Xenopus tropicalis: one gene and its partners. The protein of the gene in region 1 interacts with the protein of each later gene in a biochemical or structural test. Links are inferred from orthologs where the notes say so. Each region holds a gene or a part of one and is shown on either strand. Other genes may lie near its edges.

Evidence for each region.
Region 2: the proteins of irf4 (region 1) and stat6 form a complex in vitro, tested with the Homo sapiens proteins (2 studies listed by BioGRID). The link is inferred for Xenopus tropicalis from reciprocal best matches to the Homo sapiens genes IRF4 and STAT6.
Region 3: the proteins of irf4 (region 1) and spi1 are reported together in a solved structure, tested with the Homo sapiens proteins (2 studies listed by BioGRID, with this or other methods). The link is inferred for Xenopus tropicalis from reciprocal best matches to the Homo sapiens genes IRF4 and SPI1.

What each region holds. Positions count from the first base shown.
Region 1 is NC_030682.2:87,214,603-87,220,262, reverse strand, and holds the start of irf4 (interferon regulatory factor 4), read left to right. Parts: upstream 1-2,085; 5' UTR 2,086-2,183; coding exon 2,184-2,384; intron 2,385-5,660. UniProt on the Homo sapiens protein: Transcriptional activator. Binds to the interferon-stimulated response element (ISRE) of the MHC class I promoter. Binds the immunoglobulin lambda light chain enhancer, together with PU.1.
Region 2 is NC_030678.2:139,265,558-139,270,502, reverse strand, and holds part of stat6 (signal transducer and activator of transcription 6), read left to right. Parts: intron 1-769; coding exon 770-970; intron 971-1,221; coding exon 1,222-1,316; intron 1,317-1,625; coding exon 1,626-1,762; intron 1,763-2,514; coding exon 2,515-2,661; intron 2,662-4,538; coding exon 4,539-4,602; intron 4,603-4,945. UniProt on the Homo sapiens protein: Carries out a dual function: signal transduction and activation of transcription. Involved in IL4/interleukin-4- and IL3/interleukin-3-mediated signaling.
Region 3 is NC_030680.2:15,891,736-15,897,470, forward strand, and holds the start of spi1 (transcription factor PU.1), read right to left. Parts: upstream 3,573-5,735; 5' UTR 3,430-3,572; coding exon 3,397-3,429; intron 1-3,396. UniProt on the Homo sapiens protein: Pioneer transcription factor, which controls hematopoietic cell fate by decompacting stem cell heterochromatin and allowing other transcription factors to enter otherwise inaccessible genomic sites.

The DNA of each region.
Region 1 (5,660 bases):
TACAGCTGCCCCACTGGCATTTGCCAGAATCTACACATTGCCAGTCCAGGCCTGCTGTTCACCCAACAACCATGCTTAACAATGGTTTAATTAAAGGAGAAGGAAAGGCTAATAAAGAGTTAATATCAAGCTGCAGGCATACCTTCAGTTCTCTCAATAGTGCCCTTAAGTCTCCCCATATTTCTCCTGTTCAGATGATCAGAAGCCTCATAGGAAAAAAAAACCGCTGAGCTCTGTAAAAAAAGTTCCCATAATGCCTCACTCCTGCACCAAGACCAAGACTGGTGTACATGCTCAGTTTGTAAGACTATGAGGAAGCTTCCTGCTGATTGGCTCAGATCCACATTCCTAAGGGGGGGGAGTTCTTAGCATTCTTGAGGGAGGGGGGAGCAGGAGAGAGGAGAGAGCTGCGTGTCAATGGCACATTAAAACAAACAGACAAGGAATCCTGTTTCTTTTGAAAGAGAACTCAGTGCAGCATTTCTGTGAGTGCTTATGGCTGTATTTACATAGACCTTTCTGATAAAGCTTACTTAGTTTTTACCTTTCCTTCTCCTTTAAATGTTGCTGGGCTGCAACTTTATTTGTATACCCCAATATATATATATTGTGGATAAGGAATGCTGATAGCTGTAATTCAGCAATATTAGGTATGCATGCTCAAGATAACATGGCTCAATAACACTTACTCCCTGGGGTCAGTTTAATGAATGCAAGGGAATCTCTAGTCCTGACAGCTCTCTGTTTTTTTGACCACAACTGAAAGCATGAAAAGCACATACCCAAATAACACTATGTCCTTCTGGTGTTTGACAACAAATTTGTAATACTGACAGGCCAAAATAAAGTTTCCATGTGATAAACAGTGAGATTTTGTCATTGAATTACATCTGGCTCTATGGGAAAATAAAAATCTGCATTGAATAAGGAAAGGTTTTTGTCATCTAATTGACTGGCTGGGACTTTCAAGGTCTAGGGGTGCAGTGGGTGAGTTTTAGAAAGGTCATTTATTCTTATAAACTTTAACTGAGAAGACTCTCAGTGCAGGATACTAATATTGTAATGTATTTCAATAAATGTATTCCCTTATTATGCAAAACATGAACTTAATAGCAATAGATAAAAGCTTGATAAATTATCTGCTTTGTTAATTTATGAGAATTTGGTACAAACCAAAGTAAATTCCCCTACAGCTAATAATATACCTTAAGGCTCACATGACTGTTAGTCACATGTTAGATCACACAGAACACATCGCAGTTATTTGCATGATTAGGCAGTTTTGGGATTGAAAATTGGTCATCAGGCCCTCTACTATTATAATGTGGTGTTCATTTTGGTATAGGCGTTTTTATTCTGAACAATATCAAGAATATGTTGATCTTATGTTAGTGTACATATTCTGTGAACCTTACCACATACCCCCATATGTAATAAAAGGCACAAAATGTGCCCACGTGCAGTAACCCATAACAGTGGTGTGCTCACTGGCTGTTGCTCTAGAATTCTTGAAAAAATGCTGCATTGTGGGTAAAAACATGGCGATTTGCTCTGATATTTTACACTTTGAATTTTGCAGTACTTTAGTCATGGAGATTTTAGATGCTTTTTTCCATTGTTCTTGCCTTGCTGCTTTTTATGCAGGTACAAGGTTATAACATTTGCTCCAGTCCAGTAGCTCAAAGCAACTGATAAAAACTTAGCTGTAGGTATACGTGGCTTATGTCACATGTGTCTGCACCAGGAGCTGCTGTTTTGGACCAGGTACAGGCACAGAGAATGGATTTCAAAACACTCTGAAATGTGTGAGTAAGCATTTTGGGCCAAAATCTGCTCCATGTAGCTGCACCCGGGCTGATGCAATGGTTCCAGTGCAGACACAAAAGAGCACTGATTAAAGCACAGGAGGAAATTCTTGACCTTCATTTATTTGTCTGATAATCCGCATGTGTGGCATAAGCCTTAATGATCTAATGCAGGGAAAGTAAGCATCTGATTGGCTGTATGTCAGTTTTGCCCATGTTAGTACACCATTAATGCTTCAATTGGCAAATAATGATTTTGTGGATAAGTATGCTTCTATTTGCTGATCATACAATAAAGAAAGCATATTTTTTCCTTGTTTCCTTTTTTTGTTTTTCTTTATTGTTCCTAGCGCTGAAACAAAGGTCATTTGGCACGGTATGCACCAAGACGGAGACTGTGGAATGACACCACTTAGTTGTGGAAACGGAAAGCTAAGGCAGTGGTTGATTGACCAAATTGACAGTGGAAAATACCCTGGATTGGTGTGGGAAAATGAGGAAAGAAGTATTTTTCGTATTCCTTGGAAACATGCAGGAAAACAGGATTATAACCGAGAAGAGGACGCTGCTCTCTTTAAGGTAATATAATTTGTGTACAACTTTCGCTATACTCCAAGTGCTATATCAGCTTTCATTATCTTCTGTAGGCTAAATATGGATGTAATGCAATTATTACAGTACACACAAAGATAGTTCCCAAAATTACCTTTACAGGCCATATATAGACAACACACACATCTCTATGCTAGACTAGTTAGCAGACATTAAAGCCGTAAATAAAGCAGTCATATATATATATATATAGCGGGAGTGCTGGTATTTCTTGAACTAAGTACTGTTAAACTACAACTTGGCACCCAGGTCATGAACTTTTTTGGTACATGCCCTCTAAAATATGCCATAATTAAACATATGTATTGAGTAATAGTCCCAGCAGAATTGGAGTTTTAAATAAATTATTTACATGAATGGCCACTACATCTCTACACTCTCATATTACCCCATATACCAGGGGTCCCCATCCTCTCTTACTCATGAGCTACAGTCAAATGTAAAAAGACTTGGAGAGTAACAAAAGCATCATAAAAGTTCATGGAGGTGCCAAATAAGGGCTAAGATTGGTTATTAGGTAGCCTCTATGCACACTATCAGCTTACAGGAGGCTTTATTCAACCACAATTTGCCACTAAGTCAGAAATTTCAAAATAACTTCCTGCTTTGGGGGCACTGAGAGCAACATTCAAGGGGTTGGGGAGCAACATGTTGCTCACGAGCCACTGGTTGGGGATATACAATACAATATACAATACTGCCATATACAATACTGCGTCAAACTGTTGGCATTTTCATATCCAATATTTTTTGTCTCAATGGGTGTACGAAGAACAACTGAGAAATGAAGGAAATGCTTACATGAGGATCTAGTTGGGCAACTTTAATTATGGAGAGATATAAAAGTAACTGGGTAGCTCCTAAGCTCTAACTTTTTTAGATTTGCAGGACACTAATGGTGATTTCTGAACGTAAAGCAAAATGTCAATGCTAACAAAGCATTGACACAATTCCTGGTATAACAATTTGTTAAAGCTTAACTTAACCAACTAATACAACCAAAGAAGCTTTTTTTAATTTCTTTGTGAACTATTCTCAACCAAATATTATTGGAAGTATTATCAGCTAAATGAAGAAACAAGAGCAGTTATCCCTGACCAGTAACCCAGTAAAACATTTGTGTTAGGGGTGTTACCCTAGCTCGATAGCTATATGAATATCTTTCTTCTGCTCTTTGGGCACTAGGCCTTCTTCTATACTCCTTTTACCTTTCTTTCCTTCTTTCTTACTTATCTTTCCAGAAATAATTCAGCTCTTTCCCATTTATTTTCTGCTCCACCTCTTTCCTTACCTTTTGTAATGCTTGTTCTTCTCTGGTTTTTCTTTTTTGAGTTATCTTCTCCATTTCTATATTTTTTTCCTCAGTTCCCCATCTGCCACCCTGTCTATTATTTCTTTTATTGTCCACTCTTTGTTCTATTTTTTAACCTTTAACATAGTAAGTTGGGTTGAAAAAAGACATATGTCCATCAAGTTCAACCATAATGCCTATATATAACCTACCTAACTACTAGTTGATCCAGAGGAAGGCAAAAAACTCCATCTGAAGCCTCTCTAATTTGCCGCAGAGGGGAAAAAATTCCTTCCTGACTCCAAGATGGCAATCGGACCAGTCCCTGGATCAACTAGTTCTAAGAGCTATCTCCCATACCCCTGTATTCCCTCACTTGCTAAGAATCCATCCAGCCCCTTCTTAAAGCTATATAATGTATCAGCCAGCACGACTGATTCGGGGAGGGAATTCCACAACTTCACAGCTCTCACTGTAAAAAATTCTTTCCAAATATTTAAATGGAACCTCCCTTCTTCTAAACGAAGTGGGTGCCCTCGTGTCCGTTGGAAGGACCTACTGGTAAATAAAACATTAGAGAGGTTATTATATGATCCCTTTATATATTTATACATAGTTATCATGTCACCTCTTAAGCGCCTCTTCTCCAGTGTAAACAGACCCAACTTGGCCAGTCTTTCTTCATAACTGAGACTTTCCATACCCTTAACCAGCTTAGTTGCCCTTCTCTGGACCCTCTCTAACTCAATAATGTCCCGTTTGAGCACTGGAGACCAAAACTGAACAGCATATTCTAGATGGGGCCTTACCAGTGCTCTGTAAAGGGGAAGAATAACCCCCTCCTCCCGTGAATCTAAGCCCCTTTTAATACAGCTCAAAACCTTGTTTGCAAGTTTATTATCTACAAGGACTCCAAGGTCCTTCTCCATTATGGATTTGCCTAGTGCAGTCCCATTAAGGTTATACGGGGCTTGCATATTTTTACATCCCAGGTGCATGACCTTACATTTATCCACATTAAATCTCATCTGCCACTTAGCTGCCCAGATTGCCAGTTGGTCAAGATCCTGCTGCAGGGATGCCACATCCTGGATAGAATTGACTGGTCTGCAGAGTTTTGTGTCATCTGCAAACACTGATACATTACTCATAATACCCTCCCCTAAGTCATTTATGAACAAATTAAACAAAAGTGGACCCAGTACAGAACCCTGAGGGACCCCACTGAGGACCTTATTCCAAGTAGAGAATGTACCATTAACAACCACCCTCTGTACCCGATCCTGTAGCCAGTTTTCTATCCATGTGCAAACGACTTCACTAAGACCAATAGACCTTAGCTTAGAAAGCAGTCGTTTGTGGGGAACGGTATCAAATGCTTTGGCAAAATCCAAATAGATTATATCTACTGCATCCCCACTGTCCAGCTTCTTACTTACCTCATCATAAAAAGCAATTAAATTGGTCTGACATGACCTGTCCTTCATAAAGCCATGCTGATTACTGCTCATAACGGCATTCTCCACTACATAATTTTGAATGTGATCCCTTAACAAGCCTTCAAATAACTTGCCCACCACGGATGTCAAACTTACAGGCCTATAATTGCCAGGCTGAGATCTTACTCCCTTTTTAAATATGGGAATGACATTCGCCTTCTTCCAATCCCTAGGTACCATACCTGATGAAAGAGAGTCTGAGAATATCAGAAACAAGGGCCACTGCAATTCTGCCCCTAGCTCTCTCAGTACCCGAGGGTGTATTCCATCTGGCCCAGGTGCCTTGTTTACATTTATCGTGTGTAACCCTTTAAGCACCATATCCTGTGCCAGCCACTGTGTAGTTGGAGCTGAGGCAACAGTGAAGCTATTGGGTGGGACTTGGCCCACTGGCTCCTCTACTGTATACACAGAAGAAAAGAACTGGTTAAGCACATCTGCCTTTTCTGTATC
Region 2 (4,945 bases), on another chromosome or scaffold:
TTCAGCAGCTTCCTGCGATATCGGTCGGCTCGCTGACATGCCATACACGCACCGATTATCGTACGAAACGAGGTTTCGTACGATAATATCGGTGCGTGTATGGCCACCTTAACAGTCTTGCCACTGACACCTATGTTACTGTTTGATATAACAATAATCATAGAAATGCACAATTGTGCAATCCTAAGAATTTGTACTTAAGTGAAAGGACTAAGTTTATGACCATGGAATGGTTTAATAATTGCATATTTTAATTGTAACCCTTTATTACAAAAGATCTGTTGCACAGAAGAAAGAGCTATTAGTTTACTTTAGGGATTCACCAAATCTGGATTCAGCCAAGATTCGGCCTTTTCAGCATGATTCAAATTCAGCATGATCCGAATCCATGCCTCTGGCCAAACAGAATCCAAATGATTAAAATCACGTCACATAAACACAGAGGTTGAAAATTAATTTTTTATAACACGCTTTGTGTGTGATTGCCTTCCTTATCCTATGCAAATTAGGGTTCTAATTTAGTTCAGTATTCGGCCGAATACTTCCCAAAGGATTCTGGGTTTGGCCAGACCCTAAAATAGTGGATTCGGTGTATCCCTAGTTTACTTATTAGTTCATCAACTATGAATGATTCTATGGAGCTAACCTGTACTAAAACAATTCAACTGTGGCAATAGATTTTTTTCTGATCTCTGCTAATGAGCATCTCTCCAAGCTTTTAGAAGGCAAGTAGTCTGCTATTGTAAATGTTTATGTCTTTATGTCTTAGGAACGTCGCCCCTTCTTTGTTGAGGAAAAAGTGCCGTGGCCCAAGATGTGCCATACTTTAAATATGAAATTTGTGTCTGAAGTGGGTACAAAGCAAGAGCTGCAAGAAGAACACTTTGTTTTTCTTGCCCAAAAGATCTTCAATGACAACAGCTTAAGTGACAACAAAGACCGCATGGTTTCATGGACTCAGTTCAATAAGGTAAGGAGACCTTGATGAGCCATGTGTTATTCTAGTATGTGAGAGTACCATCGTGCTTGCTTAGTAATGGATCCTGACAGTTATTTCAGTTCTTTTAGCAATATACTCCACTAAGCAATATTGCATGTGAGGTTCAAGTAGAGTGTTTATTCCTCATTAAATTGTTGGGGTTTGTACATACAACCAATCATTTTTTTTTAGTATACTTGACTTTTAGAAGATTTTTCATCCTTTTTTTTACTTTTTTAAAGGAGCCTCTTCGGGAAAGGAACTTTACATTTTGGCAGTGGTTTGATGGTGTTGTGGATCTCACCAAAAAGTGTTTAAAAGATTACTGGTCTGACAGGTGAGATAAATGTGAAAAGTATATCTTATGTTTGCTACCCTAGGGGCCATGCATTGGCTGTAAGGCTAGGGTCTCAGAATCATAATTAAAGTATTTATCCCTTGTTCCTTTTGTCCCATATTTCACACTTACTAGTACTGCATAAATAGTCTTTTTCCTCACATTTCTTAACACATCCCCAATCTTTGGGCTGCTGTAAGTGTAGCAGCTCTCTGTGTTTCTTCCTGAAAGTCAGTGTATGAATAAAGAGATGACAAAATCCGAGCTACCGTAGCATGCTATTCTATGTGACTCTTTTTTATGCTTCAGGTTAATTATGGGCTTTATCAGCAAGCAGTATGTTCACAATATACTAAGTACTCAGCCTGATGGAACCTTCCTCCTGCGTTTCAGTGACTCAGAGATTGGTGGCATCACCATAGCACATATTTTAAAGAGAGAGGATGGTGAGTTTTCCTGAAAACAAAGAATGTTACAGTTCCGCATATACAATATTACAAACCAAAACATCCCCAAGTGTAATTTTTGTGTCATCTTTAATGGCTATTTAATTGTTCCTAGACAAAAAAATAATTTTGGATTGTAAGCACTTACCTGATACCCTGAAGCAGTGCTCCTGTTAGCAGAAACCTGCACCAGCCCAGGGTAATTCTGGAGGAGAACCCCGGTGCGATCCTCCTCTTGCTTTATCTTTCTTTGTGTGGGTCCCTATGCGCAGTAGAGTAAAAAGCTGAACTTTAAGAAAAAAGTCGACTTCTTCATTCTACTGCATGTTCTCCTGCCCGCACCCCAAGGAAAGAAGATCCCCCACTGGGGATCAGCTTCTACAGAATTACTCCAGACTGGTGCAGTCTTCTGCTAACAAAAGAACCAGCCTGGGGTATCAGGTTAGTGATTACAATCACTGGGGGTGCCTAACATTTGGCAACCCCCAGTGATTATTCCTTTTCTCTCTCCTTTAAAATAAATCTTCCTTTATTGGATTACTGTGTTCAACTGCAAAATCCACTTCCGCTCTTTTTGAAGGATTCATTTATCCCAATTCCTTCACACCCTGGATGGGTTACTCAATCAATCCCCAAACAGTGCATTATTAAGGGGTCAAATTTTACCGAGTACTACATGCCTATAAAGTGTACACACTGCTAGTATTTTATGCAGTTCTTTACATCACTATATTTATTTTGCTGTTTTTAAGGTTCTGCTCAGATCCAGAATATCCAGCCATTCACTGCTAAAGATCTGAATATCCTTTCTCTTGGTGACCGTGTCAGAGATCTAAAACAGCTAAAATATTTGTACAGTAATAAACCCAAAGATGATGTCTTTGGAAGACACTACTCAAGTATGTAATCCTTTATAGTGTTTCTTGTTAGTGAGTGTATTGTTAGTAGGATAAACCTATTACTTGTTGCATTCTTTTCATGCTTAGCATTGACCTGGTGCATTTGTGTTTAATGCTGCTTTTCCTCCAAGATTATGATAATTATGGGGGAAAAAAAGGGACAAAACTTGCTCAAAGATAATAACTAGCAACTAACAAAATATTTACTAATTACAGTAGAAACACAAAGTGCAGACTGGTTGCTAGGGATTGCTGTGCCCCTCTTATAATATATCCCCTAAATATATTTCTCTTACAGTATAATACTGTTAAGATTTTTTTTTTAATGTTAGCAATAGTTCCCATAATTTATTACAAGTAGGTAGAGAATGTATTTATCCTCTTGTCTAATGTAACAAAACCTCTTTAAATGGCAGTGGCATTAAACTGTAGCTGTTTGTTGCTGAGGTGGGAATGGCATGTGGGATGTTGCAGTTCAGCAGAGTCTAAAGCTTACTCTAATGATTAATGCAAGATTATGGACAACCTGATATTATTGTGCTGACACTGATGATTACAGAGAAATAAAACATCCTAAGCCATCCAACATTCCATCATAAACAATGCCTCCCTTCCGTCTACTAAAAAATACAAAGGAGGTTTTGGGAGCACAAGAATAATGGAAGTGCAATTGCCCTGGTCAAAATTGCCTCAGAGAAAAATCAGTGCTCATCCCCTGCCCTAACTAGTAGTTTTATCTGTGCTAGTGAATACATTTTCATAAACAGGAAGGTTTGGTTACACAAAACACAGAAAGAAATTGCCAGCGCTCGGTCTAGCCCACGCTGTAGCATTGACGTTAGGAAGGTTTAGTTAGAATAACTAGGTGATTATAAGCCACAATACTGCCCATTGTAAACCCCATATGGTGGCCTTAACTATCTACTTGTGGCCATGTTTTTCATTAGCTGGCACCTCCAAGCTTTGTTGGATAATCTGCCAAAGTCTCTCACAGGCAGATGCTCTCCTGTTGTAGTTGTTGTGTTGTAATGAAGATGAGAGATCTTTAAGACCAAAGCCCGATTTTATAGACACAAGACCAACAGGTTCATAGTGCAAGAGGAGTTTGGTCTGTCTTCCATCTCTTTCTTCTCCTGTGGGAATAAATCAAGCATGTCGGTGAAGCTGCTGTCAGGTTACTGTTACAGCAGACTGCATTGTGAATTGCCTTCAGCTGAAAGAGAATCCAGTCCTTCGATTCACTACAGCTATGGCCAGCACTGCTACATTTCCAGATCCACTAAATTGCTATTGCTTCTTCATATTGCTGTCTGAACCAGCCTGTTCAGAGGATAAGTTCCATGTAAGCATAAGGACACATGGAAGCGATAAAGATCTTTGTGTGGAACAGTGTAATATATATGGTGATGGTGTGTGGTGAGTTTGTACAGGTAAGGGATCTGTTATCTGGAAACTTGTTATCCAGATAGCTCCAAATTACAGGAAGGCCAGCTCCCAAAGACTCCATTTTAATAAAGTAATTCAAATTTTTGAAAATGATTTCCTTTTTCCCTGTAAAAATAAAACAGTAGCTTCTACTTGATCCCAGTTAAGACACAATTTATCCTTATTGGAGGCAAAACAATCCTACTGGGTTTATTAAGTGTTCAAATGACCTTTTAATAGACTTGGCATGGAGATACAAATTACAGACATTATCTGGAAAACCCCAGGTCCTGAGCATTCTGGATAACAGGTCCCATACCTGTATTTGTGGTATTTTAGTACATTCACAACTACGGCTCTCTACACAGTGTGCTAAGCAAATCATTTACTTTGCAGTTTAGATCTGTTTTACAAATTTCAACTTTGCTGCATTAACCTCCTTATTTACTTAGAAAAAACATCAAAAACGCCAGATGGATACACCCCAACACTGATAACATTAAAGGTTGCTGGCGGGTAGGTATTCACTGATGTCTGAATATATGTATCAGATTTGAATAATGTTACCCAAATGTCAAATCCTCCACAGATATGACTGAGCAACAAGCCAAACCTAAATCTTCATTTATATAATAAATTATGTTCTCAAAAATCTGTTGTAATCTGAATAAAAATGATTGTCCTCAGCCAAGCAATATACATTCTAAAGGATCCAAATTCACAATTAGTTCATGACACATTGAAAGCAAAATAAGTAAAAAAATTTGCGGCAAATTAATTATCAAATAAAACAATTGCTGGAATTTGGAAGGAAAAGCAGTTGTACGCCTTCTTGTGGCAAAACAAAATAAGATATCTC
Region 3 (5,735 bases), on another chromosome or scaffold:
ACAGCTGCACCACACTGAGAAAGACCCATCTTCTAATGTAGGGCAGTGGTTGTTGGACTCTTTCAGTTTAAGCCGCCCTTGGAGGCTCAACCTTTGGCCCAAGATACAGAAAAACATTGGTGTATCAGTCTTTCAGTCATAGTTCCAAGAATATCTAGGGCAGATTATAAGTTTTTGCCCCAAACAGTGGCATAACATAACAGAGCAAACCTCCCCCCCAGCTTGCATCTTCTGGCCCAATTCCCACCCAGCTTGGGCCACTGCTCCACACCCCCAGAGAAGCCAAACTTCCAGTTTTGGTACCACTGATATGAGGTGTCTAAAGTGTATTCTACTCTTACTCACGGGCAAACCAGACATGAAAAAACACCAACTTGAGAAGACTGAGGTTTCCCCAGTTCAACCTAAAACCTTTCTCAACATGAAGGGGAACATGGGTGACTGCAATCTAATTTCCAGGGAGAGTCCCACTTCTTGTAAATATTTTTCCCATGTTTCCAATGTTTCTTATAAAGTAACCAGCTTACTTTCAAACTTCCAGCAATAACAAAGCAACTGTGAGGCTTGTTCTGTTGGTCAAACTATTGGAACATAAATGCTGTCATATGGTTATTTTCTCTAATTTGTCTCAGGAAAATAATAATTGATGAATGTCAATATTTTCTTTTTGCTTTTCCAACCCAGTTTCTATGAACATTTCACTGGCTGCCCTTCCGTTTTTAGGTTTATGGCCTGCGCTTGACTAAATGCCCTTCCCAATCTGAAATTGCCATTCTGAGGGCTAATTGGAGTGCCATTCAGGACTAATGTTTACTGCCTCTCCTAGAAGCACTATTAAGATAATATATGGTGTGAACACATATTTCTTTACTTTTTTATAGGTTAAGTAGATCCTAAATGAATGTTGGTCCACAAAGAAGCATTGCCCCCTCCTCTGACCTAAATTTTCCAGTTTAATATTACTCTAATAAGCATTTGGCTTCATAACTCTGCCCAGTACAATTTGTACTCCCATAAACACCTGCCTATAGGCTTTATGCCACATGGGTTCTTGTGATCGACAATATCCTCTTGGTTGTCCCTGAGAGGAAAAGGGGGATCACAAGACTTAGAAGCTTCCAACCAACTGGAACTAAAGGCTCATTGCCACAAGTACAGACCATAAAATAACATGGATGATGGAACTTGCGTTAGATATAGAAGCCCAGGGACTGAATTGGTTATCCGTAAAATGTTAAATGGTGCCACCCCTGCCCTATTTCTAAGAGGAAATATAAGGATATAGGTCTATAGGCTGCCAATTTAGTCAAAGTCCATGACCAACTGGTATCCCAGATGCCTACCAAAGGTGCTGTGCTAGTTTATTTTCCAAGAATGTTTCATGTTTTGCAACTGTTATGAAATCAACCTCACTTTGAATGTGAACCCAACAGATGGTCAGTTCTTCTCACATGGTCAAGAGGCAGGATCTTTTCAAATGGACTAAAAATACAAGATCTATGTCTGACAAGTATAGTTTCTACCATAAGGCATATAGAGAAACATGCATGGGGCAGCACTCCAGCAGGTGTGGCAAAAAATGGGCAGCATGAAAAGATACCAGCACTGAACGTAGCTGAACTGGAACCACACAAAGTTTCAAGCTTCATGTGGGTAATAAAACAATGTAAAATGTTATGAGTAGCGGCTTTGCGGATTATTGAGTAAATTAGGAAAAACCTCTCTATGAGGAATTGAGAAAGCCTCAGTGGCCCTTCCACACAATTGACCACATTTTGAAATCATCTGAATGTAGAAATTAGCCAGCCATCACGCACGGCACCAGGACTTAAAGGCTCATTTAAGGAGGACAGTGTTGGACTGGGCCCAACAAAGTACCTGACATTGAGGGCTCACAACAATTAGGTGTAGACAGTGCCTAATGAAAAAGAAGTCATATAGACCTATGGTGGAAAAAGGAAAGGGCTGATGGGAATTGGCTTGACCTTGGTTCGAGACCACCAAGTACTCGTGTAGGCCAATCTGACCATGAGAGGGGTGCCTGGTGCAAAGTCCAAATCACCATACATTCTAGCACAGTGATCCCCAACCAGTAGCTCACATGTTGCTCACCAACCCCTTGAATGTTGCTCCCAGTGGCCTCAAATCAGGTCCTTATTTTTGATTTCCTTGCTTGGAGGCACACTTCGGTTGCATAAAAACTGACAAACACAACCTCCTTTAGCCTGCCAGTCCATAGAGGGTCTATCAAATACCCAATAACCCTTGTTTGGCACCTCCATGAACTTATTTATGCTTGCATTGCTCCCCAACTCTTTTTACCTTTGAATGTGGCCCATGGGTAAAAAAGTTTGGGGATCCCTGTTCTAGCACACTGGGCATTTGACAGACTATATATGACTCCCTTTGTAGCACCTAGCTCTGGCTTGCACAGCATCTTAGCTCTTCATTATGGATCGCACAAAGTTGTAGCTGACTGGCACATTCACACAACTTGTACTTAGTATGTTACCATTAATTGCACCTTATTCATAAAGCTCAAGTAGGAGCACATTAAGACGTATGGTGAATCTCTGTAATGGAGTAGCTCACCTTGAAATAAACTCTTAGTATGTTGTATACCAGTGGTCCCCAACCAGTGGTTCGTAAGCAACATGTTGTTTCTTCACCCCCTTTGAAGTTGCTCTCAGTGGCCTCAAAGTTGGTGCCCATTTTTGAATTTCTGGCTTGGAGGCAAGTTTTGGAAGCATAAAGACCATGTGTACTGCAAACAGAGCCTCCTGAAATCCACAAGGGTCTACCGATAACCAATCACAGCCCTTATTGGGCACCCGCTAGGATCACGTTTGTGTTTCTAACTTTTTTATATTTAACTATGGCTCACAGGTAAAAATGGTTGGGGACCCCTGGCATAGACAGTAGTATTTGAAAACAATCTACAATCAGTCTTAATTTTTTAATTACCCTAGCAACCCAGTATCATTTTGGAAATCAGGATGGAATTTGAACGGGGGGGGGGGTCCTAATTAGAAAGATGAACCCAACAAATAAGTACAACAGTAATGGTCAGGTTTTTTTTCGGTTGCCAGGGTCAATGGAATGGATCAATGTACAACCTGGCGCTCTGGTTTGGCACAATGTTGGTATAATAGAATTATATAACACTGAGATTGGTGCAGAACCCTGCATGGCCCTAAGGGGCCACCACATATAACAGCTGTATTGATCTTTAACTTAATTTTATTAAACCCTATAAACAATACAAGAAATACAGATGAACCAATTTCGTGGCCTAGCCCTCCAGTTGGCTACATTCACTTTCCCTTGCACCCTCGCTGCTGCCCCTGTGATAGAGATACTGTTGAAGATTTTCAAACACCAATAAGCTCAGCCTACCTTAAAGGGCACCGTGCTCCATTTGCAGTTCATTCTGTTCTCTCCACCAATCAAATCACAGCCATTAGCCGCTCTCTGTAGAAGGCACTTCCAGTCCTGGGTCCTGTTGTATGAGAAGCCCCCCGAGAGCTGAAGAAGAACCCTAGGACCCAGACCCGCTCCCCAGCTACATACTGGGGACACAAAGAAAAGGCTGCTTTTAAATTTAAAGGGGGAAGTGAGTTGACTTCCCTTATATTGCTACGGAAAGTAGTAACTTCTCTGTGCCATTACTTCTCCTAACTGGCCCCTGTACAGCAATATATGCATCCCTGTGTGTCAGGAAGGGATTCGTGCAGGGGAGCTTACAGTCTAATTACTAAGTGATAGTCATGGATACACTGCCTATGTTCATAATAGAGATCTGGGGCAGCAACCTGACCCTCTTTTATATATACAAGCAGACTATATACATTAAAGGGGATACAAACCCAAATATACAAACCCAAATAAATAACGTTTTGACTAATGAAAGAAAATGCTAATTCTAAGCCACTTTCCAATATACATGTTACCAATGTTCAATGGATTTAAAGTTATTTGTAAATGTCGTTGCTATAGAAAGTCATACTTTGATTAGGCAAAACATCCATTGTGGGTTTATATCCCCTTTATTATACTGGGGGTTACATACCCTCAGACTATATACCATAAAGGGGTCACAAACCCAAAAATAATATTTTGACGAATGAAAGAAAATGCTAATTCTAAGCAACTCTCCAATCCACGTTACTAATGTTCAATGGATTAAGAGTTATTTGTAAATATTATCACTATAGAAAGTCATACTTTTTTTAACTAGGCAACACATTCATTGAGAGTTGATATCCCCTTTAATATTTGGGGGGGTTACATTTTCAATCAGACAAACACAGGGTCGGACTGGGGGGTGAAGGGCCCACCCGACGTCCTCCCCTGAGCGTATAAAATTAATGCGTCAGGGCAGGAGTGGTCGGGAAGGGGGGCCGCTGCAAGTGCCTAGTCTGACCCTGGCCAAACAGCATACACCATGTTATAGAAATCAACAGCCCTGCTTTCCAATTCATACAGTTCAGCCTCTGGCCCCTCCCCTAAAGCCCCAAACCACCCAGAATCCACCTAAAACTTACCCTTTCTCTTTCCCTGATCCTGTTTGAGAGATAGTTCCCCCTCTTTCATCATCACCCCACCCCTTCTATATCACAAATCTCCCCTTGTAGCCTTGCAGAGCATTCTGGGGTCAGTGACCCCCTTTTGAAAGCTGAAAGGAGGCAGAAAATGAAGGCAAATAATTCAAATAATACAAAAAATAAAGACCAACTGGAAAGTTGCTAAGAATAGGCCATTCTATAACATAGGTGAAAAACTTAAAAACTTGATCAAATGCAATTTAACACTACTTTGGTCCCATGCAGGAGTCGCCCTACCCCTCTCCTGAGATGTGCCACCCACACACCCAAATACCGCCCCCACATACCTAATGATAACAAGCACAGTGGGACTGGACCTGTCCCTACACCATACTGGCTTCATACCGGCCCATAAGGATTCAACTGCACCTGCCCCTGGTTGGCTATTGCCACCAGATAGAAGCAGGCATCATTCTTAGTAATCATTTCCCCTTTACTTTCCTCTTCCTATAAATGTTTATATGGCCATAGTTTTGGGGCAGAAAACTGCCACTTCCAGCAAGAATGTGACACATCCCGCAGTCGGCACTCGGGGTGACAATAGCCCATGTTCTAGGGGAGTCACTAAAATTTCCCATGACTGGGGTGAGTTTTCCAGAGACATGCAGGGGAATATGTGGCCCTACCACGGTCGTGGCCGCCCTTGTGGGTGCAGAGCCAGGGGGATATACCCCTTTTTTTGTTGGACCTTGTTATTTACAGGCAGCTTTGGCATGTGGGATTCGAACGTAGGGGGCATTTCTGGCATAAACAGTCGCTGCCTCCAACTGGGCCAGGGAACAGTAAGAATGATTTATCTGTGTGATGAGTGCATGGGAGCTTTAGTGTAATATAAAGCTTTAGTGTAATATAAAGCTTTAGTGTAGCCTTTACTATTCCTATTACGATTCAGCGGAGTCTGTTTGGCAGGGCATCTGTGTATTCTGAGTCGTGCAACCAATTACTTGTCCTTGTGTCTGAGGGTTTATCTGTTCAGGTCCCCATACACCTTATCTCCTACTAGCAGCTTCCTCTCATAGCCTCAAATCCCACAGTCACCACCATAGACGGAGTTACAGCAGCACTGTCACACACCTTGTGGCCTCCGGCAGCATTTAAACCACAGGGTTTTTATGTGTTTTTATTAAAAAC